Rhinolophus ferrumequinum: one gene and its partners. Each later gene encodes a partner of the first gene's protein in a complex. Links are inferred from orthologs where the notes say so. Each region holds a gene or a part of one and is shown in the gene's direction. Other genes may lie near its edges.

Evidence for each region.
Region 2: the proteins of ACTB (region 1) and SETD3 are in contact, whole or in part, in a crystal structure (PDB 6ICT), measured with the Homo sapiens proteins. The link is inferred for Rhinolophus ferrumequinum from reciprocal best matches to the Homo sapiens genes ACTB and SETD3. Residues at the interface, in NP_001092.1 of Homo sapiens: Leu67, Lys68, Tyr69, Pro70, Ile71, Glu72, His73, Gly74, Ile75, Val76, Thr77, Asn78, Trp79, Asp80, Asp81, Met82, Lys84; in NP_115609.2 of Homo sapiens: Cys36, Ser37, Ile148, Ala151, Met152, Asn154, Ile155, Asn212, Arg215, Gln216, Val248, Val251, Met252, Thr253, Arg254, Gln255, Asn256, Gln257, Ile258, Pro259, Leu268, Ile271, Trp274, Asp275, Cys277, Ile284, Thr285, Thr286, Gly287, Tyr288.
Region 3: ACTB (region 1) and SMARCD1 share a complex: the UniProt entries of both Homo sapiens proteins name them as parts of the BAF complex. The link is inferred for Rhinolophus ferrumequinum from reciprocal best matches to the Homo sapiens genes ACTB and SMARCD1.
Region 4: ACTB (region 1) and SMARCC2 share a complex: the UniProt entries of both Homo sapiens proteins name them as parts of the BAF complex. The link is inferred for Rhinolophus ferrumequinum from reciprocal best matches to the Homo sapiens genes ACTB and SMARCC2.

What each region holds. Positions count from the first base shown.
Region 1 is NC_046307.1:41,580,542-41,587,598, forward strand, and holds the start of ACTB (actin, cytoplasmic 1), read left to right. Parts: upstream 1-4,048; 5' UTR 4,049-4,069; coding exon of another isoform or gene 4,070-4,212; intron 4,213-4,463; coding exon of another isoform or gene 4,464-4,854; exon of another isoform or gene 4,855-4,866; intron 4,867-4,872; 5' UTR 4,873-4,878; coding exon 4,879-5,001; intron 5,002-5,145; coding exon 5,146-5,385; intron 5,386-5,822; coding exon 5,823-6,261; intron 6,262-6,346; coding exon 6,347-6,528; intron 6,529-6,706; coding exon 6,707-6,850; 3' UTR 6,851-7,057. Other genes in the region: translation initiation factor IF-2-like, read right to left, coding at 4,070-4,212, 4,464-4,854. UniProt on the Homo sapiens protein: Actin is a highly conserved protein that polymerizes to produce filaments that form cross-linked networks in the cytoplasm of cells.
Region 2 is NC_046289.1:4,747,622-4,754,711, forward strand, and holds the start of SETD3 (actin-histidine N-methyltransferase), read left to right. Parts: upstream 1-4,071; 5' UTR 4,072-4,225; intron 4,226-7,090. UniProt on the Homo sapiens protein: Protein-histidine N-methyltransferase that specifically mediates 3-methylhistidine (tele-methylhistidine) methylation of actin at 'His-73'. Histidine methylation of actin is required for smooth muscle contraction of the laboring uterus during delivery.
Region 3 is NC_046293.1:50,883,438-50,890,676, forward strand, and holds the start of SMARCD1 (SWI/SNF-related matrix-associated actin-dependent regulator of chromatin subfamily D member 1), read left to right. Parts: upstream 1-4,220; 5' UTR 4,221-4,668; coding exon 4,669-4,845; intron 4,846-5,525; coding exon 5,526-5,713; intron 5,714-6,000; coding exon 6,001-6,043; intron 6,044-6,137; coding exon 6,138-6,260; intron 6,261-6,742; coding exon 6,743-6,865; intron 6,866-7,239. Other genes in the region: ASIC1 (acid-sensing ion channel 1), read left to right, coding at 95-248, 662-753, 1,234-1,313, 1,389-1,493, 1,627-1,731. UniProt on the Homo sapiens protein: Involved in transcriptional activation and repression of select genes by chromatin remodeling (alteration of DNA-nucleosome topology).
Region 4 is NC_046293.1:55,536,443-55,543,880, reverse strand, and holds the start of SMARCC2 (SWI/SNF complex subunit SMARCC2), read left to right. Parts: upstream 1-4,428; 5' UTR 4,429-4,502; coding exon 4,503-4,613; intron 4,614-6,661; coding exon 6,662-6,781; intron 6,782-7,339; coding exon 7,340-7,425; intron 7,426-7,438. UniProt on the Homo sapiens protein: Involved in transcriptional activation and repression of select genes by chromatin remodeling (alteration of DNA-nucleosome topology).

The sequences.
Region 1 (7,057 bases):
TGACTCCATCAGGGAGCAGGGAAGGCCCAGGGCAGGCTGGGCCTGAGGGCCCTGGGAGGGGCTCTGGCTAAAGGCCAGGCCTGGGTGGGGACCAGGCCCCTGGCTGCTGCCCAGAAGAGCACACAGGGCCCAGCCCCTCCCTTCTGCCTCTGAGCCTCACTTCAGGGGCTGATCACCTCGGGCTGGTCACCTCGTGGGGGGACCTTCCCTGACTGCCCTTTAAGGAGCTCCCTCCTTCCTAAGGAAACCTGCTGCTTTCCTTCATAGGCCATCAGACTTTGTTCTCTGCTCTCTTGTTTGAGGTGTGTCTCAGGGATCACACCTGCTTTATTCAGGGTGTTACTCAAAACTGTTCGGTGCTGTTGTGTTCTGGAAGCATGCCTGGCTGGTTGGTGCTGGTGCGTAGGATGCAGGAGCAATGTGATCCAGGAGGTTTGGCTCTTGGCTGTGCCCTTGCTGTGTGATCCTGGCTGGGTTGCCTCCCCTCTCTGAGCAGGAAAGCTACAGCTGTTATGGTAGAGGATGGAGGAAGTCATGGCAGGCTTCCTGGAGAGGGCAGCCTGAGAGCTAGCCTTGAAAGCTGAGGTCAAGTTAGGCAGCAGGCAGAGGAATGGCAAGCCCAGTCCCTCCCAGAACCTCAGGAATCCTGAGGTCCAAAATCTCCTCTTGAGACCATCCTGGGAGCAGAGGAGGAAGCAAGGGAAAGAAGTGGCAGAAAAGAACAGGCTTGGAGCCTCAGGACCCATTTCATTACTGACTAAGGGCTGGTGGTTGTTCTCTCTGGGCCTCAGGAGATAAGAGCTGGCTGGGGTGGGAGGAATTTAGACTTTGGAGCAGCCTTTGGACCCAGTCCCTGGGGGCACTTCAGGGGACACTTTACCCAGGGAGGGGCAGTGTGAGGCCTGGTAGGGGGTGGGGGACTGGGCCTAGAGTCCTTCACACTGGACTCTGGGCCTGGGTGTCTCACCAGTCCTGCCTCAGTTTCCTCATCTGTAAAAAGAGTGTGTTTGCTGGAAATGTTTCATCCCTTCATTCAGTTACCCTTCACTGAGCACCTACTGTGTGTGTGTGGGTCTTTCTTCCACCTCTCAGCCCCACCTCAGTTTCTTCCTCTGAAAAATGGAGCTGGGGGTCCCCACCTGGTGGGGCGGCAAAGGGGCTCCAACACTCAGGGCAAGGGGACTGTTTTCCGGAAGAGGGTGAGGGAGTGGGCCTTTGGAATGGACTGTAAATGTCCCCTGGCCTGGAGGCCTTTGCAGGGTGGGGGAACCACAAAGAGAAAAAAATCACCAGAAAGGCAGGTGAAGTCCCCATTGGCTGAGCTAGTGTGGGCTGTGTGCCTGCCCCAGTGACAGCTCTGAAACTCCCTGCAAGGGCAAAGTTCCCAAGCGAAGAACCTGTTCACTTCCTCTCCCGCTGGTCTCCTCCCCCTTCCTCTGGCCTACTCCACTTCCTCTTTTCCTCCTCCCGCTTGCCTTTTCTCTGCAGCTCCTCCCCTCCTCCAAGGCTTGTGGCCCAGTGCCCACCGCCAAATACCCTCCATCTGCCTAGGGTCTTTTGTAAGGGCTGAGGAAGGACACCCAGGCACTCACTCATTCAACAAAGCAGAGCCCTGGGGTGGGTATAGTGGATGTGATGGCGACTCCGGAAGGGTTTGCTGAGGATGGACCCCCAGCTCTATTTTTCAGAGGAAGGAACTGAGGTGGGGCTGAGAAGGGAAAGAAACCGCACACACAGTAGGTGCTCAGTGAGGGGTAACTGAAAGGGGATGAAACATTCCAGCAGAGTCTGGTGGGGTAGGCTGAGTTCTAGATGCTGCCCCAGTGCAGTTGCTTTAAGTGGGGGGAGGGTGCATGTTGCAGATGCTAAAGGGCTCCCACTGAGGAGGGACCTTCTAGGCTGGGCCTTGAAGGATGCATAGGAGAGCACCAGGAAACGGCTGCTACAGATGGCCGGGATTGTCCCAGTCTCAGGTCAGGTGTCCCAGTCTTGGCCAGCCCTTGGTTTAGAAGAGGTGAGGTGGCAGCACAAGTCCTGCTTGGGGACCAGGTCTGCTCTCCACCTCGTGTCGCTTCCTGGAGCCATCCCAGAGTCTCCCATCCCATGCCCTGCAGCCCTGGTCCCAGCCTACCCAGCACCCCTCCAGGCTCAGCGAACAGCCAGAAGTAGCCTCATCAACAGGCAGCAGAAAGGGTCACCCCCTAGTCCCTGAATCACAGGGTTGGCAGGTCCCAAGGTGGCTGGCCAGATGCCCGTGACTGAGAGACACAGGCCAGGGACAGAGCAGTCTGGTCCTTGGGAAGCCGGGAGTGGACAGGCTAGGAATGTCCACCCAGGGCGGGGATGGTGACTGGGGAGCTGCAGCGAGTTTCTTGGCAGTTATCTGGGAATGCTAGCATGTGGCTCTGAGCCTGTGGGCTCTGCTGTGCACTAGGTGACGGTCACCCTTCCCACCTGGTTGTGGCCTCCACAACCTTCAGAGACCTGCCACCAGCCTCCTAGGCAGTGGGCTGGACCAAGCCACCTCTTCCCTGGACACACATTCCACTCCCATATATGGACTAATTGGTCACTGGTTACAACACTCTCTCAGTGAGCACCTATTATGTGCTGCAAAGCCCTGGGCAGGCCTGGCTGGAGACAGACCAGTGGTGACAGGTCAGTGCCCCCACCTAAACCACCTTTCCCATTCTCATTCCTGTGACAATGCAGCTTCTTGTCACCACCTCTGAGAAGGTGCATGCTCCTCTAGGCAGAGCCACACAGATGTCCCTCTGGGGTCCCACAGCCCCTGGGCTTCTGTCTGCCATACCCTGAGCACTGTTGGCCACCCTCTGGATACAGGCTCTGCCTGCCTAACTGGCAGCTCTCAAAGCAGGGAACCACCCAGAACAGGACACCCAAGTTTTGCCTAGTATCTGGAATGTCTCAGGGCAATAAAGAGTGACAAGGAGAGGGTCTCCTCTGAAGGCAGCTGCTCTTCAGCCACTGTCCCTTATGCCACGCCCCCCCAACCCTAACTCATCTCTGGCTCATTGAGTGCCTTTCCCCAGGCTTCGGGGACCTCCAGATGGTCCAGGAGGGCAGTTCAGCTGTGGCTACACATGACAGAGGATGGATGGGCTCTAGAGCTGTGCTGAGCAGTCCTGCCTGCCTACCAGTGCCCACCAGTGTCTGGCAGCTGCCCTGGACACCGGCCTAACCTCCCAGGCCTGGCCTTGTCTGGGTGTGACCAGGCAGCCCTGAGAGGTAGCCTGGCTCCATGGGAACAAGTTTCTGTGCTCTATAGAACCCACCTCTTCCCAGGCCGGCAGCAGGGAAGCCTTGGAGGCCTTTTTACAGGCAACTAACTTCCAGCCACTGGCTCCTGGGGGCCTGCCCTGTCCCTGGGGACTGTGGCCCTGAGGCCCTTGTTAAGTAGCTACAAGCCCCCTGACTCCCCCAGGCCGTATCATATTTCGCAGCTCCAGGTCTCTGAGTAGAAACGATCCCCATTTAGCAAGGTGAGCACCCCGGGCCAGAGGTACCCTAACCCAGGCTTTCTGGGTAGTTGAGCCAATGTTGGGAAGAGTGGATGGTGACTCCCTAACCACCCCTCCCCCACAACTGCTCCTTAAGCATGCGTCCACAGCAACCAGGGACCCTCGCATCTATGTTGACTCTTGTGCCCACGGGGGAGCGGGGAGCTCACGGCACATGTGACATCCACACCCGGAGGGTCCCGAGGTGGGGGACACGGAGAGACCGGCAGGCCGAGTCCAGGCCTGGCTACGCCTGGCCGGACTAAGCACTGCCCAGCGGGGCGGTGGCCCACGGCTTGCACCTTTCATCCGCGGGCCCAGCTCCTAAGAGCGGCCAACGCCAAAACTCTCTCCCTCCTCCTCTTCCTCAATCTCGCTCTCGCTCCCAGTCCATCTCTCTCTTTTTTTTTTTTTTTGCAAAAGGAGGGGAGAGGGGGTGAAAAAATGCTGCACTGTGCGGCGAGGCCGGTGAGTGAGCGGCGCGGGGCCAATCAGCGCTCGCCGTTCCGAAAGTTGCCTTTTATGGCTCGAGCGGCCGCGGCGCCGCCCTATAAAACCCGGCGGCGCGACGCGCAGCCACTGCCGAGTCCGCGTCCACCCGCCAACACAGGCCTCTCGCCTTCGCCGCTCCGCCGCCGCTGCCAGTCTACACAACCTCCAGGTAAGGCCCCAAGCCGGCAGGGCGAACTGACTGGCGCCGGGCCCCGGCCTCCCCCGGGTACACAGCGCCTCTCGCCTCGGCCCCGAGGGCAGCACTTGAGCTTGGGGAGTGGGGCTCGTGAGCCTCCCAGGTCGGGGCCGGGCTGCGCCCGGGCCGTGCGCCCAGGGTGCTACCGTCGGGGCCGCGGGCCTTCGTCGGAACGGACAATTAGCTCCATTGGGCCACCGGCTGCTAGGGTGGGTGGGTGGGTGGGCGCGGCGGGACCGCGGGCCGGGTGGGGGCTGGGGCCACCACTGATCCTGCGCGTGCGCTTTCGGGCTGGCCGCCGCGGTCGGCCGGAAGGGGTGGGTCGCCGCGGCGCCAAGGCGCATGCGCACATTTCTTGGCCGCGCCGTCGGCTCCCGCGGGTGTGGCCTCCGCGCGCCTGGTCGGCGGCGCTTTTTGAACGGGGCAGGGGCGGGGCCGGCGGCTGGGGAGGGGCTGGAGGCCTGGCTTCGTGCCGCGCGCCGCGGGGCCGTCTCTAACCAGCGTTTGCCTTTTATGGTAATAACGCGGCCGCCCCGGCTTCCTTTGTCCCCAATCTCGGCGCGCGCCGGCGCCCTCTGGCGGCTCGAAGGCGCGTTTTGCCGGAAGTGGGCAGGGCGGGGGCCGCCCCACCCGACGCGGGCTCATGGTCCCCTTTCCTCGCAGCTCGCCATGGATGACGATATCGCTGCGCTCGTGGTCGACAATGGCTCCGGCATGTGCAAGGCCGGCTTCGCGGGCGACGATGCCCCCCGGGCTGTCTTCCCCTCCATCGTGGGGCGCCCCCGGCACCAGGTAGGACGCCAGCCTCGGGTCTGACTTGGGAGGTGGGGTCTCTGAACGGGCGGAAGATGAAGTCGGCTCCTCCGCAGGGGAGGCCTTGGGCTTTCTGCGTTGGGTCGTGCCCATGCTGAGGGCGCCTTGCTCCTCCCTCCGCAGGGTGTGATGGTGGGCATGGGCCAGAAGGACTCCTACGTGGGCGACGAGGCCCAGAGTAAGAGAGGCATCCTGACCCTGAAGTATCCCATCGAGCACGGTATCGTCACCAACTGGGACGATATGGAGAAGATCTGGCATCACACCTTTTACAATGAGCTGCGTGTGGCTCCTGAGGAGCACCCTGTGCTGTTGACTGAGGCTCCCCTGAACCCCAAGGCCAACCGTGAGAAGATGACCCAGGTCAGTGCTCTACTGGCCTTCCTCGGGAAGCCACTCCTTCTTTTCTGGCCCTTCTGTGCCACGCCTTTTCTCACTTGTTCTTTCTTCTGCCATTCTCCTAGGATTTTCTTCTCTGACCTGAGTCTCCTTTGGAACTCTGCAGGTTCTATTTGCTTTTTTCCAGATGGAATCTTTTTCGTGTTTGGTTTTCTGACTAGGTGTTTAAAGTATAAAGTGCTGTGGGTGTAGGTACTAACACTGGCTCATGTGGCAAACCCAATGAGGATGGTGTGAAGTGGCCTGGGAGTGTGTATTCAGTAGGTGCACAGTAGATCTGAAAATCCCCATCTTGGGGTCCCCAGCACACTTAGCGGCGTTCCTTGCACTCTGCATGTTCCCAGTTTGGCCTGGCTGTCTGATGGCTTCCTGAGAGTGAAGTGGCCCATCTTTCCCTACAGATCATGTTCGAGACCTTCAACACTCCAGCCATGTACGTGGCCATCCAGGCTGTGCTGTCCCTGTACGCCTCTGGCCGCACCACTGGCATTGTGATGGACTCCGGTGATGGGGTCACCCACACTGTGCCCATCTACGAGGGGTACGCCCTCCCCCACGCCATCCTGCGTCTGGACCTGGCTGGCCGGGACCTGACGGACTACCTCATGAAGATCCTCACAGAGCGTGGCTACAGCTTCACCACCACAGCTGAGCGGGAAATTGTGCGTGACATCAAGGAGAAGCTCTGCTATGTCGCCCTGGACTTCGAGCAGGAGATGGCCACTGCGGCCTCCAGCTCTTCTCTGGAGAAGAGCTACGAGTTGCCTGACGGCCAGGTCATCACCATTGGCAATGAGCGGTTCCGCTGCCCCGAGGCGCTTTTCCAGCCTTCCTTCCTGGGTGAGTAAGGCTTTGACCTTGCCACCACACAATGGTCACCCTTGTGGCCACACTGGAAGCTAAGTCTGGCCTCTGTTCCCCTCAGGCATGGAATCCTGTGGCATCCATGAAACTACCTTCAACTCCATCATGAAGTGTGATGTCGACATCCGCAAGGACCTCTATGCCAACACAGTGTTGTCTGGTGGGACCACCATGTACCCAGGTATCGCCGATAGAATGCAGAAGGAGATCACCGCTCTGGCTCCCAGCACGATGAAGATTAAGGTGAGTGTCCGCGCAGCCTGTGCTGGCCTGGTCACATGGAGTGTTAGAGAGTTCCCATGCTGACTTTACTGTAGGATGCAGCCACCTGTGGTTGTCAAGGCAACCTTTCTGGGGTAACGCACAGCCCTTGGGGCTGTTCCATCAAGGTCCTTATGCTAACTGTCCTGTTCTCTCCCAGATCATTGCGCCCCCTGAGCGCAAGTACTCGGTGTGGATCGGTGGCTCTATCCTGGCCTCGCTGTCCACCTTCCAGCAGATGTGGATCAGCAAGCAGGAATACGACGAGTCCGGCCCCTCCATCGTCCACCGCAAATGCTTCTAGGCGGACTGTTACTTAGTTGGTTACACCCTTTCTTGACAACCTAACTTGCGCAGAAAACGAGATGAGATTGGCATGGCTTTATTTGTTTTTCTTTGTTTTGTTTTTTTGATTTTTTTTTTTTTTTTTTTTTTTTTTTGGCGCTTGACTCAGGATTTAAAAACTGGAACGGTGAAGGTGACAGCAGTCGGTTGGAGCGAGCATCCCCAA
Region 2 (7,090 bases), on another chromosome or scaffold:
CCTATGGCACTGCTGAGTATCAATAACTGGTGTTCACATTAATTGTTGTATTAATTTTATATTGACTTCCATCTGTTCTATTCATCTATTATCTGTTATGTTCATCCCCTAGATCTGGTACATAGATGGCCCAGAATAATGAATGAATGAATGAACTCTACCTTTCAACAACTCTCTGTCGCTCCTTGAAAATACCTTTCCCTTGTCTACTAATTGCCTTTCAAATATATAAAGACAATTTTTACATTCCCTTCTCTTCTCCAGGGCAAACAAACATCCCATTTCTACAACATGGTTTTTTAGTGTTTCAAGATCCCCCCTAAATATAGCAACCAAAATGGAAAACAATACTCTTTATGTCATCTGCATAGTACGGAGGGGAAGGGAGAAGGGAGACAGCGTGCCACTGATGGCCCACTGAGTCGCAGCATGCCTGCAGGCTATGTTTTCTTATCCTCACAATTTATCGCTGAGAAAATAGAGCTATGGAGACAAGAAACAACTTGCCTAATTCACACTGCTAGCACATGGCAAAGCCACAATTTGTCATTAGACTAAGATACTGCCTTCCCTCAATCTGGACCCTACTTTGTTTCTATAAACGGAACATTACATCCTAGAACCATTTTTTGTCAAGTTAGGTCTTTCTCATGTCAAACAAGGACAACAACGTTTTTGTAAATTTAATCATTCTTGGTAAATTTGTATCTTATCTGGGCCTCCTATTTCAGTCTGTAAGAACTCGTTGAATCCTGAGTGTCATCTAACATGCTGGCTATCTTTGAGAAGCATGCCTCTTACATATTTAAAGTTGGTAATAAAAAAAAAAATGCTGACCAGAGTAAGAGCAAGACTAGAGCCCTGGAGCCTATCTCTAAAGACCTCTCTTCATTCAGGCTGACATCAAGTCATTAATCAACATTTTGGGTTTGGTAGTCTGAATGGATATAAATCCATCCAATTAGACCTCATCCAGTGTACGTGTATCTGTGTCTGCTGGGATAGGAAGAGAGATTATGTTCAATGCCCGAAGGAAACCTGACTGAACTCAGCGCCCACCCACTATCAACCTAGTACATTTATAACAAAAGGAAACATGGTTTGTGTCACCCAGCTTTTTTTGGACTGGAGCTCTGCTGGTTTGAGGGAATCAGCTCTCCTTTCCCAAATACGCACAAATGCTCTTTTTGCTCCCCCAACAAGATTCTAAAATGGATTAATAACAGGTTCTAGCATCCAGCAGTCATCTAATTGCTCTGCAAAAACTGAGACATTGACCAGACTCCAGTCTTCTATCATTCACTATGCTTTTAGGATTCCTCTAAAGCTATAAACAATGATTTTACAATCTTATCTGCAAGTTCTCTGGCATATAATTTATCTGAGCCTAAATATACAAATGAGATTTAATCCAATTAAATGTTCTTAACAATCTCCACAATTACCCTGAACTTAAGTCTTCTTCATTTGTTTGTCCTTACCCAGTTTTGGAGAAAACAAACAAAACATTTTTTTACCTTCTAGATACTCAGTGAACTCACTGCTTTCCAACATAACCTGCAGAAATGAACTACAGTCCCACGCTACTTAAGGATGGGAATATGCTTTGAGAAATATGTCGTTAGATGATTTCGTTGTTGTGCGAACATCACAGAGTGCACTTATACAGTCCGAGGTTGTATAGCCTACTGCACACCTAGGCTATATGGTATAGACTACTGTACCTGTGCTACAAGCCTGTACAGCAAGCTACGGTACAAAATGAGATGAAATCAAGCACAAGAGAAAAGATGCAATCAAGATATGGGATGCAATGGAGAAAATGATGGAACCAAGAGACGCAGTAAACATGATGTATGGCGTAACAAGCATACTGTTTTACAGCAAACTTTTTTTAGCAGTGTACACTCTAAAATAGCAATAAAAAGTACAGTTTAGTAAGCACATAAACCAGTAACAGTCATTTATTATCAAGTATCATGTACTATACTGTACAGAATTGTATTTGCTATACTTTCATACAACGGGCAGCACAGGTTTACACCAGCATCACCACAAGGCCATAATGCCTTGTGCTACCACATTACGATAGCTACGATGTCACTAGTGATAAGAATTTTTCAGTTCCACTATATATGGGACCACTTGTACACTAGGTCCATCCTTGACCGAAACGTCGTTATGTGGGTCAAATGGTAGCATGACTGTAGCTCATTTCGTAGGCCAAAAATATGATCAATTTTTTTCTTTATGATGTTCAATTTTTACAAATGGCATTTACAGTTTAAGGATCTCCTTAGCAATTAGAATGTTTCTTTATTCCTTGTTGGTGCAAACTATGTTTTCAAAATGAAACAAATATTAAACATGCTTTATGCGTGAATCAAGCAATGTTTGAAAAAAATGAATACATTCACAATGAGACAAAAAACACCCCCTAAAATTAGACACCTCTGATAGTCACATTGGAAAATAAACAAAACACAATCCTGGAAAATTATTACATTTATAGTCAAGATTATTTAACAAGAAAGCATCTGAAGAACAAAATCGATCAGTCTACCAATACCACTACTATAATCACCCATTCTTCATTCAGCTCTAGGTGCTGGGGATACAAAAGGCACTTCACGGAGCTTTCATTCTAGCAATACCATTCACATAAACCTTTAATGAGTGCCTACAACTGCAAGGCACTGTGCTAAGTATCTCTAAGGAGCCTTAGAGCTTACCTTAAAAACATAAAAGGCCACCCGCAAGCTAACTGCTCTCAGAAGTTTCTAACGTCAGACGATTTCGCGAAAGCTCCATTTAACTGGCAATCCAAATTTAGGAAGCGTTACCGACCATGCTTTGTGCTGGTAATAGCTGAAGAGCCTTCAGAGAACTTCGATACTAACGCCTCAACTTTCTGAAGAACAATTCCTTTAGTAACAAAGCGAACCAACCCAGAAGAGGGCCGGTAAGAACGATGTCTCGGTAAAAACGAATCTAATCGCGGAAGTGCCTTTTCCTCATTCCTAGTCCCACCCTTGTTACATGGCTCTTCAGACGCCAAAGCCGGAGTACGCCAGATGTGGAACAATACCCAAAGTCTCAGGTCTAACCAAGGTTGGGACCGAGACACTGCAAAGTAGTTGGGAAGATGTGGGTAGGCAGCGGTTGTGCGGCAGAATGTGCGCGCGCGTTAAGACCCCTGCCCCTTCTCACCACCTGCTACAAAGTCCCCGAACTCTAGCCGTCCCTCTCTGAGAGAGCCGCTACCTGTTCCTAGGGTACGCGCCGGACTCCTTCCTCCGCTCTTGCGCCTCAAACCCTCTCCCGAAGCCCGTCCCGCAGTCCCGCCATCGCCCGCTAACTTCGATCTACACCGGGGGTAGCCGAGGGAGGCGGAATCCAGGAAGAGAGACTCCGCCAGCGGATGGAGACAGTTGGCCAAGCCCTACTCCGACCTCCAGGTACGCGGCGGGGGCGGTGGGCGGCGCTACCAGTGGTCCGTGGGTCACTCACCCTCGCCTCAGGCAAGCCCCTTAGCTACGTCTCTCCTTGCCGACTGCGGCCATCTTGGACGTGGGATGTCGGGGAACTACGTCATCGCGCTGCGTCGGCGACGGAAAACACGCGACGGGAGTCGCCTGTGAACCAATCAGAAGAAAGTAGAGCTCTCAAAGGAGGAAAGAACAGCCAGTCTCCTTTCAGCCCCTCCCCTCAGGAGGAGGAGCCTGACAGAGGACCCCTCCCATAGTTCCCGCCTCCGGGGCAAAGGAAATTCGGGAGCAACCGAACCTGCTAACGGAACTTGGACGCGAGAGGTGGGGCCCGGGGCTGCCCACTCTCCAATCAGCGCCCGGGCGTGGCGTAGCCCCACCAATTGTAGCCCCTGAGCTGGCGGGGGCCGAGCCGGCCGCTCGGGCCCAGGAGCCCTCTGGCCCAATGGCCGGGGAGGAGCCCGAGCTCAACGGTAGGGGGGCGGTGGGGCGGGGCCGTGCCCATGCCTATGAGCCGGAGGCCAATGGGCGGCGGCGGCGGCGGCGGCCCGGGGGCGGGGCCCGGGGGCGGGCGGAGCCGGGTTGGGCCGCGGCGGCGGGCCGTCTCAGGCCGCGGTCCCGCCCCTCCCGTCCGGCCGCAGCCGCCGCCGCTGCTGCCTGGGGCTTGGTTGAAGCAGACGGTGGGTCTGGCCCGGAGTGTGGTGCCGCTGCGGCTGCGCGAAGGGACCAGCGGGCAGGTGAGTGCTGGCGGTGGCCCCTCCGCGCGCGCGGCCCGCGGGCCAGATTCGCGCCGTCGTTCCCGAGCGCTGAGAGGCTGCCCCCAGCCCTGGCCGGCATCCCTCGGCCGAGGTCCGGCCCGCGCTCCGCTGGCCGCTGCGGGCCTGGGGTGTGCTAGGCGGTGGCGCCCTGGGGCCCGGAGGGGAGGGCGGGGTATGGGCGACCCGGTGGGGTCGGAGGGTGCCGCTTGGCCTTTGCCCTCCGGCCCTGCCGGGACGGGGGCGCACTCGCCGCTGCCCCGCGTGTTCTTCTGGAGCCCAACGCTCCGGTCCCCGCTCCGCCCGCCGCCCAAGGTGGTGGCAGGTGCAGGGAGCGCCGGGCCCCTCGTCGTCCACCGGGTGGGGCCCGGGCCCCTTTCCCTGGCGCTCGTAGGCTCGGCTCAGCGTGCGGCCGGCTCGCGCTCTCGCTTCCTTCCTTCTTCCCGTCGTCACCCCGCTGCTTGGGTGAAGGCTGTGTGTGGCTTTATGTTCCTCTCTCCAAATCTCAGGTGCCCGCCGGGGTGCCCCGGGGTGCCCGAGGACTAGCCCCTGCTTCTCTCACTTTCCAGTTATGAAAACAGTCGTTGAAAATAGGTCATCTTTCTTCCCACGCGCCCTGGCCATCTTCCACACGCTTCGTGCCCTACTAGGGAGAAGAATTCAGTGCTTTGGAGTTTGTCATTCCGGCATTAAACTCTTTCTCCTCGTGGCTCCAGCCTGGCGACGCAGCTCTGCCTCTCCGACTGCCACTTGGGGAAAAGGAGAGGATTACTGTCGGGCGCCACTTGCTGCGGGGGGCCTCACGCCCGCGGTGTGTTGACACATTTAGGATCACTTGAAGGGTATTTTGCTTTTCCAAATGAAGACGGTGATGTTTCAAAAGCAAAAATAAATTTATAAAGTATATGGACAGTTTAATTTTGCTTTTACTAGGAGCCTTGGAAGAGTTAACCTTTTGACAATGGACCTGACAGTAGTTTGGTTATGGTGGTGGTTACCCAGCTATACACCTGTGTCAAAACTTAGACCTGGACCCTGAAAAGTGTGAATTTTGTCGTATGTAAATGATACTTCTCCCTACCCCATTTTTATTCTTAAAAAAATGACCCCATTGGTATTTCAAAACTGACCTAACCATCAACCTCTAAGAGGTTTTCCTTACTATTTTAAGGGAATGCATTTACCTCAAGAATATAGCAAAATAATCACACTTTCCTCACCACGGTTAAAACTTGGCAAGACTTGCTTGAACCATGGTGTATTGTGTCTATAGAGGCTACGGTGCCTGCAAGTCCTGCCTTACCAAATGAGTCCCAGGGGCTGCTGTGATTGATATTTTGGTAAAGTTCCAGCAATTTAAGGAGTTTTTCTCTGGCCCAAGAAAGTAGTTTGTAACGCCAAATTCTCAAACAGCTGCAGAACAACCTCTTTATTGGGACCCCGAATAATCTTGGCTTTAGCCTTCTGCTACCCCTTCCTGTCTGCTCTCCTTTCTCTCTGTGTATTCAACTTTGTGAGTTAATATCTGAAATGAAACTCCAGTCTCAACCAGTAAAACGGTTGCTGCTTCTCACCTCCAGCATGCTAACATCTCTCAGTGCTTTTTTTCCTGGAATACGAATGATGTTGGAGTTGATAATTAAAACTTTTATGCCCGCATGTGCGGTAGGAATGAAAGTTTCTGTTCAATTCTGTCAATAGGGGTGCAGTAAGATTGTCAATAAGAAAGGAACACTTACTGAGCTTCTCTTCCTTGTGGTGAACATTTAAGCCATGTTTTAAATGATAATTAAACCTTTGCTTTAGAGGCCACTGGAAAATGAGAAAACTAGAGGCCTTTCTGCAGATTTTTTCCATTCTGAAGTTCAACTGTCTTTATTTTGAGAGCTCTGATAACAGGTCACAATGGACTCCTTAAAACTTGATGCTCTCATATTAGAAGAGAAGGACAAAGGAGATGGCAGCCGGAGGAAAGAATCAACATTAGTACAACAGAGGCTTGCTTGTAGTAAATATTTAGTAGGTAATTATTGAATTCAATGAAAACCGGGTACCTAGTTTGTGCTGTGTGGAATTTTGGTGACAGTACGAGTAAAAATCTTACCTCCTAGCTCAGGGTTACTCTACATTGTTTTTAATTCGATGTCAGTTTAGTTTGAGGCTTTCCAAGTCTCTTAAAACGTTTCAATTACATACTCTCCTTTTTTCTTATCACTAATCTGAAGTAGCTTTTAGAAATGTAACTAATAATAGTGTGTCTTTTTTTGTGTGGTTTGATGACTATCTTTCACTGGGAGGGTTTTTATCTTTAGAAACTGGTTTGTCTGCCCCTGGCTACTGTGCATCGTGCTTCTGTTGGGGCGTGGGGAGGAAGAGTTTCAAGTGTGTTTCCTCTCCTTGGACCTAAATCCTGGGAATGGGGCCTCCCCTTTCCCCTGCGGAGGAGCAGTCATTTATTACTATGGCATTAAACATTTTTAACAGAAGAGTGAATATATCTTTATTATGTTATTTTGGAAGTTGCTTGTGGCCGGTTATTTTTTCAATTAGCTAGCATTCTAATTGAGGCCAATGTTTTGATGTCCTGTGTGCAACCTTTTTCTCTTGCTGTAGTCATAGCAGTGTTCATCTTGGCTATCTGTTCGTCCTGAGTCACATTTAGCCAGTTAAGAGGACTAAGGAGTCCTTGCTTTTAAATTTTTCTAGTTTTCACTTCTGTTGCGTTTACAGGTGTACCTTACTTGGCAAAATTGACTTCTGTACATTGGATTTCCTTTTATCATCTCACTTTCCGATTCATAAAGTTGGAGATGTCAATCAAGTGTTTTTATCTGCAGATATAATTAA
Region 3 (7,239 bases), on another chromosome or scaffold:
CAGGGTTACTGTGGGCAAGGCCAGGCTGTGGTGCTGAGAGGGGCCTGGCAGAAGGGCACCACTCAACTAGCGCCTGTCACCTGGCTGGGCGCAGACTTCCTGGTGGAGAAGGACCAGGAGTACTGTGTGTGTGAAATGCCCTGCAATCTGACCCGCTATGGCAAGGAGCTGTCCATGGTCAAGATCCCCAGCAAAGCCTCAGCCAAGTACCTGGCCAAGAAGTTCAACAAGTCTGAGCAGTACATAGGGTAAGTGCTCTGCCTGCAAGGCAGGGCCCTTGGGCTGGGCCCGCGAAGGGTGAGTGGGCTTTGATGAGGTCTGGCAGACAGGAGGAAGTTGGGTCTGAAGTGGGCGTGGAGGAAAGACCCAGGCAGAACAAGCAGGGAATGCGCCTCTTCTTCCTCCTCACCTCATGCTCTGTCTTCATCCTCCTTGCTGTAACTGGGATCACCTCACACTTACCCGTGTGCACAGCATCTTTTCATATCCGCCATCACATTTAATCTTCACAACAACCCTAGAAGGCAGGTACCCCCATCAGCATCTCATGTGATGGATCTGAAGACAGAGATTCAGAGAGGATAATTTACCAAGGTCACCTAGCTAGCAAGGGACAGAGATGTGACTTGAACCTAGGTCTCCTTCCCCAACCCCTTTGCAGGGAGAACATCCTGGTGCTGGACATTTTCTTTGAAGTCCTCAACTATGAGACCATCGAGCAGAAGAAGGCCTATGAGATTGCAGGGCTCCTGGGTGAGCTGCTGATGGCACCTGTTCCCTTCCCATGTCATGGGCATGGTGTGACACCCTACCACCCAAAGCAGGCTGATCACGTCTGTCCCCAGCCATCCCCAGGGGCTTTTCCCCAAATTCTGCTGTCTTGCTATGTGGTGGGGGGAAGGGGCTGAGCCTTCTTTTAGGGCAAAGTGGAAAAGATAGGCCTGTGGGCATGAACAGGGGACTATTTCATATGCCCTTTAAATTTTGCCCAGAGATTAAGAGTGTTGGGTATTTTATAAACAATTATTTTTTTCCTGAATAGTACCTATTCATTTTAGAAAAGTAGAAAAAGATGCAGAAAAGCATAAAGAAAATAAAACCCCCTCTCAGAATCTTTGCACTCCTTCTATAAAAAAGCTGTCGATCATTTTGCAATTATGACTTGCCTGCCCGTTTCAGTGAGCTCCCATGGTGTCTTGACCCCACTGACCTCCCTGTGCCCCCTCCACACAGGTGACATTGGGGGCCAGATGGGCCTGTTCATCGGGGCCAGCATTCTCACAGTGCTGGAGCTCTTTGATTACGCTTACGAGGTGAGCAGGGGCGGGACCAAAGGGGCGGGGATCCAGGCTGCCCACACACCCACCCACCACCCCACCGTGTCCCAGGTCATTAAGCACAAGCTGTGCAGACGAGGGAAGTGCCAGAAGGAGGCCAAAAGGAGCAGCGCGGACAAGGGCGTGGCCCTCAGCCTGGATGACGTCAAAAGACACGTGAGGGAGCCAGTGAGGGGTGCCCTCCGGACCCGCCCCTTACCCCACCACCCCAGGACCACCCCTCCCCCGTGCCCCAGCGCCACCTGCGGCCCTTTCCATAACCAGTTCCTGTCCTGTGCCATTCCCCCAGAACCCGTGTGAGAGCCTCCGGGGCCATCCTGCGGGGATGACGTATGCTGCCAACATCCTACCTCACCATCCGGGCCGAGGCACTTTTGAGGACTTTACCTGCTGAGCCCTGCAGGCCACTGTACCAAAGGCCTAGATGGGGAGGGCAAGGAGAGCAAGGGGGCCCTCAACTGCCCCCCACATCTGCCCTGGGGACCCACTCTCCTTCCCAAGGCAGCCCCCCCGCTCCTGGGCAGTCCTTTCCTCCTGTGTGTGGTGAGGAAGGAGGCTTGACCATAGAGTCCTCTCCCTGTCTCTATCCCTTTCTTTTTATTTTTAACAAAACTAATCTGAAAAAGAAACTGAAAAGAGAACTGGGCAAGTGACCTCAGGCTGCCCCTCTCTGCTCTATGCTGCCTCCCTCAGCTCCCAGCCTGAATTCTGTCTGTCTGGCTGTCTGTCATCTGAGTGTCCACCTACATTCTGCTGCCACCAGTCACCAAAGCCCCCTCCCAGTGGGGGGTGGAGGGGATCCTCTGGGTCTGGAATTTGACCCCAAACCAGAGAATGTACCATGAAGGGGAGGGATAGTGGTGGTGGGGGGGGCTTCCCCAGCCTTAAGAGACCCTCTCAGCCCAGTGACTACCCCCCCAACCCCAAGTCTCCAGGCAGGAACTAAGACCCTAGTACCTACCCCCCCACACACACACCATGTGAAGTCACTAGGGTGGTGGGGGTGGGGATCCCCTGAAGCAGTGGAGATGGGGACAGTGTGTGGCCCTGGTGCTGTAGGCCACATCCTGATATCTACCACCCCAGAGCTGCTGGAGAGAAATCCCAAGAGGCATCTCTCCTCTACCATCCCCTAAAAGATCCAGCTGGTTGGCTTCCAGCTCAGGGAGAGGGGCGCTGGTGCCTAATCTCACTGGTCCCTCTCCCCGGGGCCCCTGCAGAGGGCCACATCCATAAATTTTCTTATGGAACTGTCTCAAGTCCTCTTCCCCAACTTCATTTGCTTCTCTCCACAACCTCATCTGCATTTTCTATTTCTATATGATACAGACTCTATATTGCTATATCTCTGTATATACTTTCCCCTAACTGTCCGTCTCTACTCCATGCCCTCTTGTCTCTAAGAACCATCCTCCCACTCCACCCTTCCTGTGTTTCTGCTCCCTCCCTGGTTTATGAATGCCTTCGCCTGTATAAAGAGTTGGACTCTCTCCCCTGGTGTCTGTACTGTGTACACACATCCCTCTGAGAAGCACAAGGAGACGACACGCGCATTGTAACCTTCGCACTGTCTCGGTGGCGACATAAAGGAAGCTGTGAATCACAAGCTCTGCCTCTTTCTGGCCTCACCCTCTCCCCACAACCTGGGTACCCTCTGCCCCCCCTGCAGCCTTAACATCCCCTTTCTTGCTCTATCCACCCCAAAGTCCTTTGTGTGGCTGACTGTGGCCTCTCGGGGGAAGGGATTGCTACCGAGAGAGCCCCCACCCAAGGAATGGAGACCTGCTCTGCACACTAAGCCAGGGGTACCAGAAACACAGGGAGCTGTGGACCAGTGACCCCTTCAGGTAGAACAGCAAGCGCTGACAGGCAGACGCTGAGGTCCTCAGTCAGTGGCCTTTCCCTCCTGGGTGCCCAGCCCCTTTCCTAACTGGATACCCAAGCCCATCACTTACATTTTTTGGTGAGGTATGGTTTGGTAGTGGGAGGAAAGACACAGTCCTAGAGGGGAAGTTGAAAGCTCTGCTGTTCTGTCCCTCCCTAACTTAAACAGAAAGGAGTGAGATAGAGGGCCTGCCACGCCCCCTCCACCAGGCAGTTCTCCCAGGCCAGAGCCCTGTTCCTTCCCAGGCTTTCTCTGCCCAGCTGTTTCTTGGTCTCTCACCCCAGAACTGGACCTGTGGCAGGTCACCTGTGCAGGCCTGGAGCTGGAGAGTGAGGCTCTAGGATCTTTGGGAACTCTTAGTTCCTAGGAGTTCTTTAGAGAGCAGACCTCTCCAGAGGAAAGCAAGAGCAAGGCCAAGGGGTGTGCACCGGATGGAAAACAGCAGGCAGGGCTATGGGTGACGCATGCCTCTGGTCTAATAAACTGGATTTCAACCATCTCCTTTTCAGTGTCCTTCTTCTCTTATTTGAATAGTATTTAGGCGTTCCCATTAAGAGCCTAGAGCTGAGCTTGGCTTGGAGCCAAACATTCACAGGAGGAGTAAGGCTTGAGCAGGGAGACCCTGGTCGTCCTGGGATGGGACAGGCTGGACATCACACCACGAATGGTTTGAACCACTGGACAGTGAAAGAGGGAGGGGTCAAAGGCAACAAATATCCCAAAGAGAAGTCCTAGCTCAAAGGGTTCTTTGGAGTGAGGGCAGGGGCAAAATTCAAAATAAACTTAAAATCTGGAAGCAGGTTCGGTTAAAAGTCAGGGACAAAGTTGGGTTGAAGTTCTAGCGTGAGGTTAGTTACTGAGGCACTTTATCTGTGGAATGAGCCCCAGGCTACGAGCCTGAAGATCTGGATTCTAGGCTTTGACTTTACTGTTCACTTGTTGGTTGACCTTTGCCAAGTCATATACTTACTCAGTTCAGCTTTCCCATTTGTAAAATGGATTAAACAGTACGTTTTCTTCAGTCTTCCTGGCTTATAGCAGTAAGAGAAGGAAACGAAAAACAAAGCGCTTTGGAAAATTGATCGCACTACGCAAGATGAAGCAGTTATTCCACCACCCTCTTCATCAGGACGTTGGGTCTGTGGCGGTGGCACCCCTTTCCAGGGCCTGTGTTCCTCCCGTCGGCCTGGGGGCGCCCGCTCACAGGGCCTCTCTATCCCAGAGCTCGTCTCTATGGTTTTGCCTTCCCGGACCGTGAAGGCGGGAGGGAGTGGTCAGCACCCTTTTCCGCTAGTCGCCCCCCTCTAGCCCACAGTCTCGCTGCCCTGAGTCTCCCGTGCCGGCCGGCCGGCCGGGAGGACTAGCGGGCTCGTGGGGGGCCCGAGGTGGGCGGGGGGAGTTCCGGTTCCGGTTCTTTGTGCAGCTGCAGCAGCGGCTCCGGGGAAGATGGCGGCCCGGGCGGGTTTCCAGTCTGTGGCTCCGAGCGGCGGCGCCGGAGCCTCAGGAGGGGCGGGAGCGGCGGCTGCCTTGGGCCCGGGCGGGACTCCGGGGCCTCCCGTGCGAATGGGCCCGGCGCCGGGTCAAGGGCTGTACCGCTCCCCGATGCCCGGAGCGGCCTATCCGGTGAGTGGGGCGGGAGGAGGGGCGCGCGGGCCGGGGGCGGGGCCGAGCGGGGCCCTGGGAGTGACAGCGGTGGGGGGAGGAGTAGGAGGGACTCCCCGGAGAGGGATTCGGGCCCTGAATGGGGGTGGGGGAGTCAGTGAGGAGGAAGGAAGGGAGGCAGTTAGCATCCCCACCTGCTCCTAGGGGCATTGTTTCCGTGGGGAGTCAGGGTATAGAACTATGGAGGACGAAGTGGGGCGGAGGGTGGGCTGATGAGGGCTGGAATGCAAAAGGGCTTGGGCAGCTCCAGTGCCCAGAGGAACACACACAAGGTAGCTGGCAAATTGAGGTCAGCTTTCAAGGAAATAGTACCAGGTAGTACTGAGTAAATGTGGAACTAGAGGAGATAGAGGAGATGTGCAATGTGTCAGATACAAAATAGATTAGGGAGAATTTGAGTATAATCTGGCTCTTAGCTTTTGGGCTGTATTCTCTTACAGAATCATGACTGGAGCAGAGGAAGCTCCAGTTATCTGTAATTCAAAGAGGCAGAGGGCTCTTCTCCCATTGTGCTCCACTGCCCCTCTCCCCCTCCCCCAGCCTTGTTTCATTCAAAGACCTGAAGAATCCCCCCACTTTTTCTTTCTTGGTGGGTTTCGTAGGGGAAGCCATGACATCTCTGGGTCCTCTCCCCTCTGTAGAGACCAGGTATGCTGCCAGGCAGCCGAATGACACCTCAGGGACCTTCCATGGGACCCCCTGGCTACGGGGGGAACCCTTCAGTCCGACCTGGCCTGGCCCAGTCAGGGATGGACCAGTCCCGCAAGAGACCTGCGCCTCAGCAGATCCAGCAGGTCCAGCAGCAGGCGGTCCAAAATCGAAACCACAAGTAAGATGACCCCAGGGAGGAGGGGAAGGAGAGAAGGAAGGGAGGGAGGGAGCCTGTGAGAACTCAGGTGGTGGGAGTATCTGAACCAAGAAGTAGTGGTGCTGTGTCAGCCGATGGTGCTTATTCTTGAGAATGCCTCATGTTGGTTGGGGGTTTGGGGGTATGTCTTTGATTTGAGAGAAGCTTTACAGTCCTTTCACTTTACTATAAATGGAGGTGCTGACAGCCTGTCTTCATGTTCTGGCTAGTTCCATCCCAACCTGATAACAGTATTTGTTTTGAAACAGTGCAAAGAAAAAGAAGATGGCTGACAAAATTCTACCTCAAAGGGTGAGTCCAAGCTGTAGGTCTTCCTGAGGGTGTGGTGAGTTTGAGAATAGAGATGGCCAGCTCTATATCCCCATGATATCTTTCTGTTCCTAAGATTCGTGAACTGGTACCAGAATCCCAGGCCTATATGGATCTCTTGGCTTTTGAAAGGAAACTGGACCAGACTATTATGAGGAAACGGCTCGATATCCAGGAGGCCTTGAAACGACCCATCAAGGTAACGCCGGAGCGCACTAGGCAGAGAGCCAAAGGAGAGGACTTGGGAACGTTCAGTAGGCTTAGGATGAGCAATCAAAGGCACAGCACAGTTCTCCTTGGCATTTAAATTACATCTTTCCCTTCCGCCTACGAACTGAGAATTATATTAGAAGTATAAGAACAAAATAGCAAAGGGGGAGGGGCTTTTGATATCGCTTGCACCAGAAATTTACCCTGTCCGTGTTTTTGCTATAACTGCTCTACCACCTTGGGAACCTGGCACCTTGCTTGACTTTGTCCACCTGGCATCTCAGTGTATGCTCTTGCACTCAGACCAATGGCCTGTATTCCTCTTCTAGATGGAATCTTCATCCACCCACCCCAGGGACTGGGTAGACAGTGAGCCAGTCTGTTAGGAGTAATTTTGGGGCTTGGGGAGACCCTGTCTTCAACATCAAACCGTTGAAGCCCCACCATCAATCCTGTTTCTGCCTTCCTCAGCAAAAACGGAAGCTGCGAATTTTCATTTCTAACACTTTCAATCCGGCTAAGTCAGATGCCGAGGATGGGGAAGGGACGGTGGCTTCCTGGGAGCTTCGGGTAGAAGGACGGCTCCTGGAGGATGTGAGTTCAAGGTCCACTGTGGTCGGCGTCTAGGGTGGGAGCTGCTGGGGACAAACAGTGTTGTGTGGTTGGCAGGAAGCCTGACTGGTGCTCACAGCTCCTGTTGGGAACTGCAAGGAAAGGGTCACTGTATGCCCTGTGCTAAAAGACAATGGTTCTTTGTGTTGGTTCCCACAACTTGGCCCTCATTGTGGTATCACATTGAGAACCATATTGTCCTGGGATTTGATTTGTTGTTTACCTTCCTCCTGATGCTACTGGCCGTTAAATTTAGCAGTATGTGCAGATTATTCTGAGAGAAAGAGAGAGAATGAATGAATTAAAATGAATATGAATGTGTGTGTTTTAAATCAAGTGAGTTTGCACTTAGCGTT
Region 4 (7,438 bases), on another chromosome or scaffold:
TAAAGATGTGGCTTTAGGAGTTACCTGCCCAGAGGTGATCAAGAAATTCTAGGAATATAAACATTAAAGGAAAGAACAGGAAGAAGCCTAAGAAGGAGACCTGGGAGAATTCCAGGAGTAATCTAGAACAAAATCTGGAAAATAGATAAATGATAAACTTGGCTAATGCATCAGCTTTTTAAAAAAGTAATTTTGAAGTAATGAATCATTTAAATGTGGCTCATAAACTAGCTGTGAAGGAGTTCCAGAAATGTTTTGTACAATGACAGCATTCCTGAAACAAGTGTCAGTTGAGATCATTTTAGCTCAAGTCCTCTAATGATTTGCTTTACTGGATAAACTACAGAGATCCAAGCCTCTTAGCATTTGGAACAAGTCAACAATTTGGGATTATGTTAAATTCTTGCGTGTTAGTTTCTCCCCCATTAGCCTTTTAGTTACATAAAAGCAATTCTGATTAAGATCTGAGAATTTGTAGCTTTGATCAGTTTACGGTGGGATTAGCTAGTCTCTGGTTATGAGGTAGACAGAAGCAGCTTCATGAAAGAAGGAATTAAGCTAGCACCTGATTAGATTGGGGTCTCTTACTGGGAAGAATTAAGGATTAAAAAAAAAAAAGTGATTTAGGCAGGGTGTATTGATAATTGGAGCATGTATTTAATCAGATGGGGCGCTGAAGTTCCTGGACATGGGAATAATATGAAGAAAGCAGTGTTTTTAGAGATTTAAGTGTGGCGAAACTGGGGCACTTAGAAGGCCACTGGAGGAAAAAATGTCAGATATTTCTTAAGGTTGGAAACTAGATGGAATTATGAATAGTAGCATAAATGGAAAAGATTGAGAATGCGATTCTGGGAAAGGAAGAGAAGTTTTGTTTGTGTTTTAGGTGACATTAGGTCAGCTATGTAGACATATAGGCAGTTGGAGATAGAGGACCATGGTTTGGCTGGGAGGCCATGCCTGGAACAGTGGCTTGGGATTTTTTTCTTGGGAAGAGGGAAAAGAATGAAGTTTTAGTAGAATTCCACAGGAAGAGGGAGAAAGCAAATGAGATGGAGAAGGTGTTCTAAGAGAAAAACAATGAATACAATGTCTCTGAAATCCATTAAGAAATCAATGGTTTCAAACAGCAAAGGTTTCTACCTTGGGGTATTAAGATAGTATGGAGCTGGAGGCAGAGGGTATACATTTCATTCAAGAAAGGAGGTAGAAAATTTTTGGAAGTGTCAAGTGAAAGTGTAGTTTTGTTTGTTCTGAAATAAGGATTGATTCAGTGGAGTAGAATTTGAATGTGTTATGGAAGGTTTATTTATGGAAGGTTCCCTAGGAGGTTGAAATGAGTGGGATTGCAAGCCTAGACGAAGAAGGTTATTTAAGGGCAGACAGATGAGCAAGGCCAAATACTGAATCAGAAACTGAAGAATACCAGTGGGTAGAACGTAATAAATATGTAAGAATGGTGAGAGAGAGGTGGGCCTGATCGTGCAACACAAAGAAAGAGGATTTGTCTGGATGGAAGGGGAAGGATGAAAGAATCGGGGAGTTGGGGTGGGCTGTGGATATAGTGAAAATTGGAAATTATCTACTGTTCATGAAAGTCCAACGCCGTGGCCTCTAGTCCTCTAAAATTACAAGGGAAGCATTTGAGAGCAAAAGGTAGTATCTCCCAAATACCAAACCACCTCTGTCTGTTTCTGTTCTCCTTCTCAGTTCAGATCCTCCATTTTGTAAACCGTGGAGCCTTCTTCCTTTCACAACATAGTTGTCGGTTGCCCTCTGCTGGTCCTTGTTGGTCTTGGCTCTCCAGATATTTAAATCTGAGAGCGTGTGCAAAATTGGATGGTAGAAAGCTGAGCACTGAGCTAGTAAGATTCTATTACAGTACATATTTGATCACATCTATATAAGACCTAGTACAGGAGATACAAACAAATAAAACACACAGTCCTAATTCCCAAGAAGCTTAGAGTCCAGTCTGAGTGAAGATTAAAACAAGTACATATAAATACTGTAAAAACATCTATTTACTCAACAAAATTATTTTTTTATTGAGGAGGTTATATGTGCCAAGAATTTACATCTACAGGGGAAGAAAGACTTCACATAGTAAGATTAGGGCGTAGGATGTGGTGAGTGACAGGTGGTTAGAGAAGGCTTCCCAGGAGAACCAACATTTAAGTGGAGACTGAGTAGAAGGTGAGGATGAGCAAAATTATTGCAGGCAGAGAACAGCATGAACAAATACTACAGTAGGAATTAAAAGATTGCCATGGGTGGAATGTAGAGAATATGGAAGAGTGGTGAGAGAAAAGAGACCAGGTCATGAAACACCAAAAGCAGCTATGGAAAAGTTGAAGGTCTCGGGCATGCTTTAGTGGAGCTTTGCATATATTAACTTCTGTAGTCCTCACAGTGACCCCTATTTTCCACATAAAGGCTCCAGCAAGTGGTCCAGTCTGCACTCACTCCTGAGAAAAGTGGAGAGACTTGAACATATTTAAGAGGTAGAACATAATTTGTTTTTATTTTAATTTTTGCAGAGGCGTGTCAAAGGAGATGACTTGCATGCAATCTAGTGGATGGTGGTGGTAGCCTGATAGGTTCCAGCTGGAGTAATCAAGAGCCTCAAAGAGAAGGGGTAAAAGGATGTGCAAATGGAAAGTGATCATTCTGTGGATTGGAGGGGGGGAAGGAGACAGTGGTGAGGGTGACCTTGGAAAGAACAGCGTGAGCAATGGTATGAAGGCGGGAAATTCCAAAGTGTAAATGTTTAGAAAGCTCTATGAATTACCCTTGAACCCCCTGTCCTTTGGGGATTCTTTTTGGAGAAGATGCTGCTGTACAAAAAATGAAATACAAAAAGAACATCCTCCACAAGTGTCCTAGATATCCCCACAATCAGAAATTGTGGGTAGGAAGAACCACGGGAAGTGAGTATAGCAGCGTGACAGGTTAGAGAAGGGATTAATTCTCTAGCTTGGTTAACTACCTGACACATAATGAGGACTCAATAAAAAGTGATAATTATCTTCCCACACTAGCTCCAGCTGGATCTGCAGTGTTGGTTTCAGTAGGTTACTCTCCCTAGCTCTGTACCTGAGGTGCATCTCCTCGAGGAAATCCAAATGAGAGAATGCCCTGTTTCTTGGGTCTTCATTTGTAATCAGACCTACAAGATGTGACTTCTGGTCATGAAATCCAGAGGTGCCCTCTTTTCCTGGAAACGCCAGTTTTGACTTTTATAGCACAACAGGCATTTACATACCCAAACAAAACTTAACCCTTCTTCAACCAAATCCTTTGCTATTCCCTCCCAAAAGCATGAAACAATGTATGCCAAAGCTACAAGTCTGAAATTGCCTTGTATTCTAGCAGCCTATAAGGTTGTGCATAATTAAGCTTCCGTGATCACCCTCATCCCCCCCCCCCCCAAATCCAAAGGTGAAATCTTGAGATCTTCTGGCTTTTCTTTCCCAGACAGAAAGGAAAGTGCACGAAAGGCACGTGCGAAAACCAGGGATTCCCTTTATACTTCCTGAAGTGGTAGCGCGGCGGAGCCCCGGAAAAAGCTAACGTCACGAACAGGATTCGAACCTGTGCGGGGAAACCCCATTGGATTTCGAGTCCAACGCCTTAACCACTCGGCCACCGTGACTTCCAAAACCGCTCTTCTCCTCACACTTACAGCAGGAATCGGCATTGCGGGGAAGCCGTGCCGTTTCCACATACCCATAGCCACAGACCAATACATATATAACATCTTGTGACCCCCCCAGCCCCCGCTCCTTACCTCTCTCTACGCCACTCAAAGGAAAAGAGACGGGTCTCAAGGAGTGCAAAGCTATTTAGGAGGTGATGGCGAGACCTGCAGAGGAAGCACTTGGAGGGAAGGGGCTGGGCCCCGAGGGTGGCGGCTAGGGGACTCCTCGAGTTAAGGAGTGAAAAGGAGTGCTGGGACAAGGAATTAAAGGTGAAGAAAACTTAGGGTTTAAACTGGGAACTCCTGGAGTTGGAAGGAAGGACGAGGACGAAACATCTTGGGGAAAGGGGATTCCTTGGGATTAGGAGGTCCGTGGGGTTAGGAATGTGCAAGGTGACGACCACTTGGAGTGGGGGATGCCTCAGACGATGGGCATCCCATTAGGATAAGATACAGGTGCCACTTCCCGAGCAGAGAGGCAAAAAGGAAGAAGATTCCACGTCAGGTCAAGAGCGGTCTCAGGAGAGTGGGCGCCCCCTCCAGGAAGCAGACACCTCGCCAAGGCTCCCTCCGCCGCCGCCGCCGGGGAGGCCGCCAGGGTCGGTCCTGCGCCCTGCGCTCCGCCGCCGCCGCCCCCTGCCGGCCAGCAGGGGGCGCTGCGCGGGCCGGGGCCGGCCAGGGCGGCGGGAGGCGGCTGCCGTGGCGGCGGGAGGCGGCGGGAGGCGGGCGGAGGAGGAGGTGGAGGAGGCGGGAGCTGAGCTGAGCGGGGCGGGCGGCGGCGGCGGGGCCCGAGCCCGAGAAGATGGCGGTGCGGAAGAAGGACGGCGGCCCCAACGTGAAGTACTACGAGGCCGCGGACACCGTGACCCAGTTCGACAACGTGCGGCTCTGGCTCGGCAAGAACTACAAGAAGGTACGCGGGCAGGCTGCGCAGAGACCGGGGGCGGGACAAAGGGACCGCGGCCCCGCAGCGCCCCGGGATCCTGCCCACCCTCTGGCGGCCCGCGGCCCGCAGCCCCTCCTCCGCGGTCTCGGGAGCAGCCCCCACCGCGCCCTCCGGCCTGCGCCCCTCCTCCAGCCTCTCACCGGCCCCCCCTCCGGCCTGGGATTCCGGAGAAATGCTGCGCCCTCTGCCCCTTGTTTTTCTTCACTGCCCCGGCCGGTCTCGGTGCCAGCAGCCCACCCTTCCCTGAGCTATCGCCTTCCGGGCTTTTCCGGGAGAGATGGCCAGCGGTGGACCCGGTGTCGATCCCCCCCAATCAGCGTGCCCGCCACGGTGCCCGCCAGAGCCCCTCACGGAGCCAGGTACCAGCAGGGCTGAGGCCTCCCTGGTGCTTTGTGTACGTTCAGAGAGAGATGATGAAAGCAGGAGGGTTAACAGCCACAGAGCAGGCCCTTGGCTGCTCCATCTGCCTGAAAAAGGCCCCCACCCTGAGATCACCTGTCTGCCATTCGTCCCCACCTCCAGCCAAGCGACAAGAAATCCTCTTTGGGAGCCAGGGTATAGGAGTTCCTTGGCAGAGACCCCTTCTTAAACCATTCCTCAGTTGCACAATGCAGTCTCCCTCCACCTGGTCTTGAATTGCCTTGGTTGGGGGTTCAGAGGCTAGGGCACTCTTTATACCTCTAGCCCCCAGCACCATAACTGGAGATAATAAGGTAGTGAACAAAGAGTTCAAGAAGCCTTGCCTATCTTTTTTACCGAACCTTTTCCTGGTGTTGTCTTTGTCATTAGGCCTTGTTGAAAGGAACATCTAAACATATGGTTTTTCTCTGGAGATGGTCTGCCTCACTTCCTTCTCACTACCCTGAGAGGGATTCTGTTTCTGGCTTTCCTTCAGCTCCCCAGTTCTTCCTGCCCAGCTTTGCAGCCTGTCAGAAGTGTGATGAGTGGTTTAGGAGAATGCCCCTCTGTTCTTGGTTATGAGCTCTCAGAGGTCTCTCTGGGTGTCAGGATCCTGACAAATAGCTGCTGGGTCTGTGGCTTGTCTGCACCCCAGTTTGAGGCTCTGGTTCCCAGGCTTCTACCTTTGACCTTTTGGAAGGGAGATCAGTCTAGGGGCTTAGTCTCTGGCCCTTAGGGGAGTGACAGCCTGTGACCTGGTTCAGCTTTCAAGCTCTGAGCTTCGTCGTTTACCTTTTCCTTCAAGGATCTCTTTACACCTTGCACTGAGAAGAGCACTCTTCTCTGTGATTAGGGTTCAGGAAACGGTTCAAAAGGCAAAGAGAAAGTTAGCGTCCTGGCTCAGTTTTTAATTAGAAGGCTAGGATGCTAGGTAGCATACTATGGAAATGTTTAAGAAGGCCCAGGGTTACTTGTCTCAGATAAGGTTTCCTCAGAAAAGACAGGTGTTGTCTTGCTCTTTCCCACTAGGCTAAGTAGTAGCTGGTCCTTGTCGTTTAGGAGGACCTGCAAAGACATTTGTGCCCTGTTCCTAGCAGAAGCGGAATGCACAAGCTCCCTCTCTGTTTGCCCAAGCTCCCTCTCTCAGTCTGTTTTCCCTACCTCGTTTCCGTGCACCTTTCTTATTAGGCCACATTATAGGGGGAATCTTGGACTTCCACAATGTTACCCCAAGAAATACACTATTGTCTTGCTTAGAGCCTCAGAGGTATTGCTTTCATTGCCTGTCGAATCTTCAGGATTTTACAACCCTCAGTGCTTTTGGCTAGAGAGTTAGGGTCCTGCAACTCCAATTTCAGGGTGTAGCCAAGGCCCCCCCTTGTCCCCAGCACCCAACACTGGTAGCCTGGGCTGGAGGCAGCAGAATTGTAACTTCCTGGTGAGGGGCGTAGAGGGCCTCCCTTCTACCATTTTCGTTATAGAAACTTGACATGTGGGGGAAGAAGATACAATTTTCTCTGCCCCAGATGCTTCCAGAGCTCCTGGGAAAGTAATAAGGGAAATGGTGGACAGTTTTTCTGGGGTCTATTTTTCTTTTCTTTCTCTCTTTTCCCCAGTATATACAAGCTGAACCACCCACCAACAAGTCTCTGTCTAGCCTGGTTGTACAGTTGCTACAATTTCAGGAAGAAGTTTTTGGCAAACATGTCAGCAACGCACCGTTAACCAAACTGCCGGTGAGTGCAAAAGCAAGGGGGGAATCCTCCAAACTGGGGAGGGAGTGTTTTGTAAATTTCATGATTTTTTGATATTTGGGTAAAGTTTTTAGCATCTCTATCCTTGGTCAGCGCATTACTGCCTTGGTCTAGTCCCCAACTTACCACTCCCTTTGTTTTAGTAATACTTTGTACAACAGATTATCTCAGAGTGTCAGGTCAGTGCATGAAACTATTGTGTTATGATTAAAAGGATATGAGATTTGAATTTACACAGGTTTGTGTTCAAATCCTGGCTCTGCCAATTGGTGTCTCTGTGATCTTGGGTTAAACCTTTTGGGTCTCGGTTCCTTCATCTTTAGATGGGATTAGTATACCTACCTTGTAGGGTTTCTGTAATGGTCAGTGAGGTAACCCAGTAAGTGCTTGGCACAAGGTGGCTTTGTGAACATTGGTTTCTTCTCTCCCCTCTCCCAGGCCACATGATACAATGGCACGGGGTTTGTGAAAGGGTTGTTAAGTAACAAGAGAATTGTGGATGTAACTGTCATATACTTCTTCCCTGTCTCAATTTTGTAGATCAAATGTTTCCTAGATTTCAAAGCAGGAGGCTCCCTGTGCCACATACTTGCAGCTGCCTACAAATTCAAGAGTGACCAGGGATGGTGAGATGCCCTC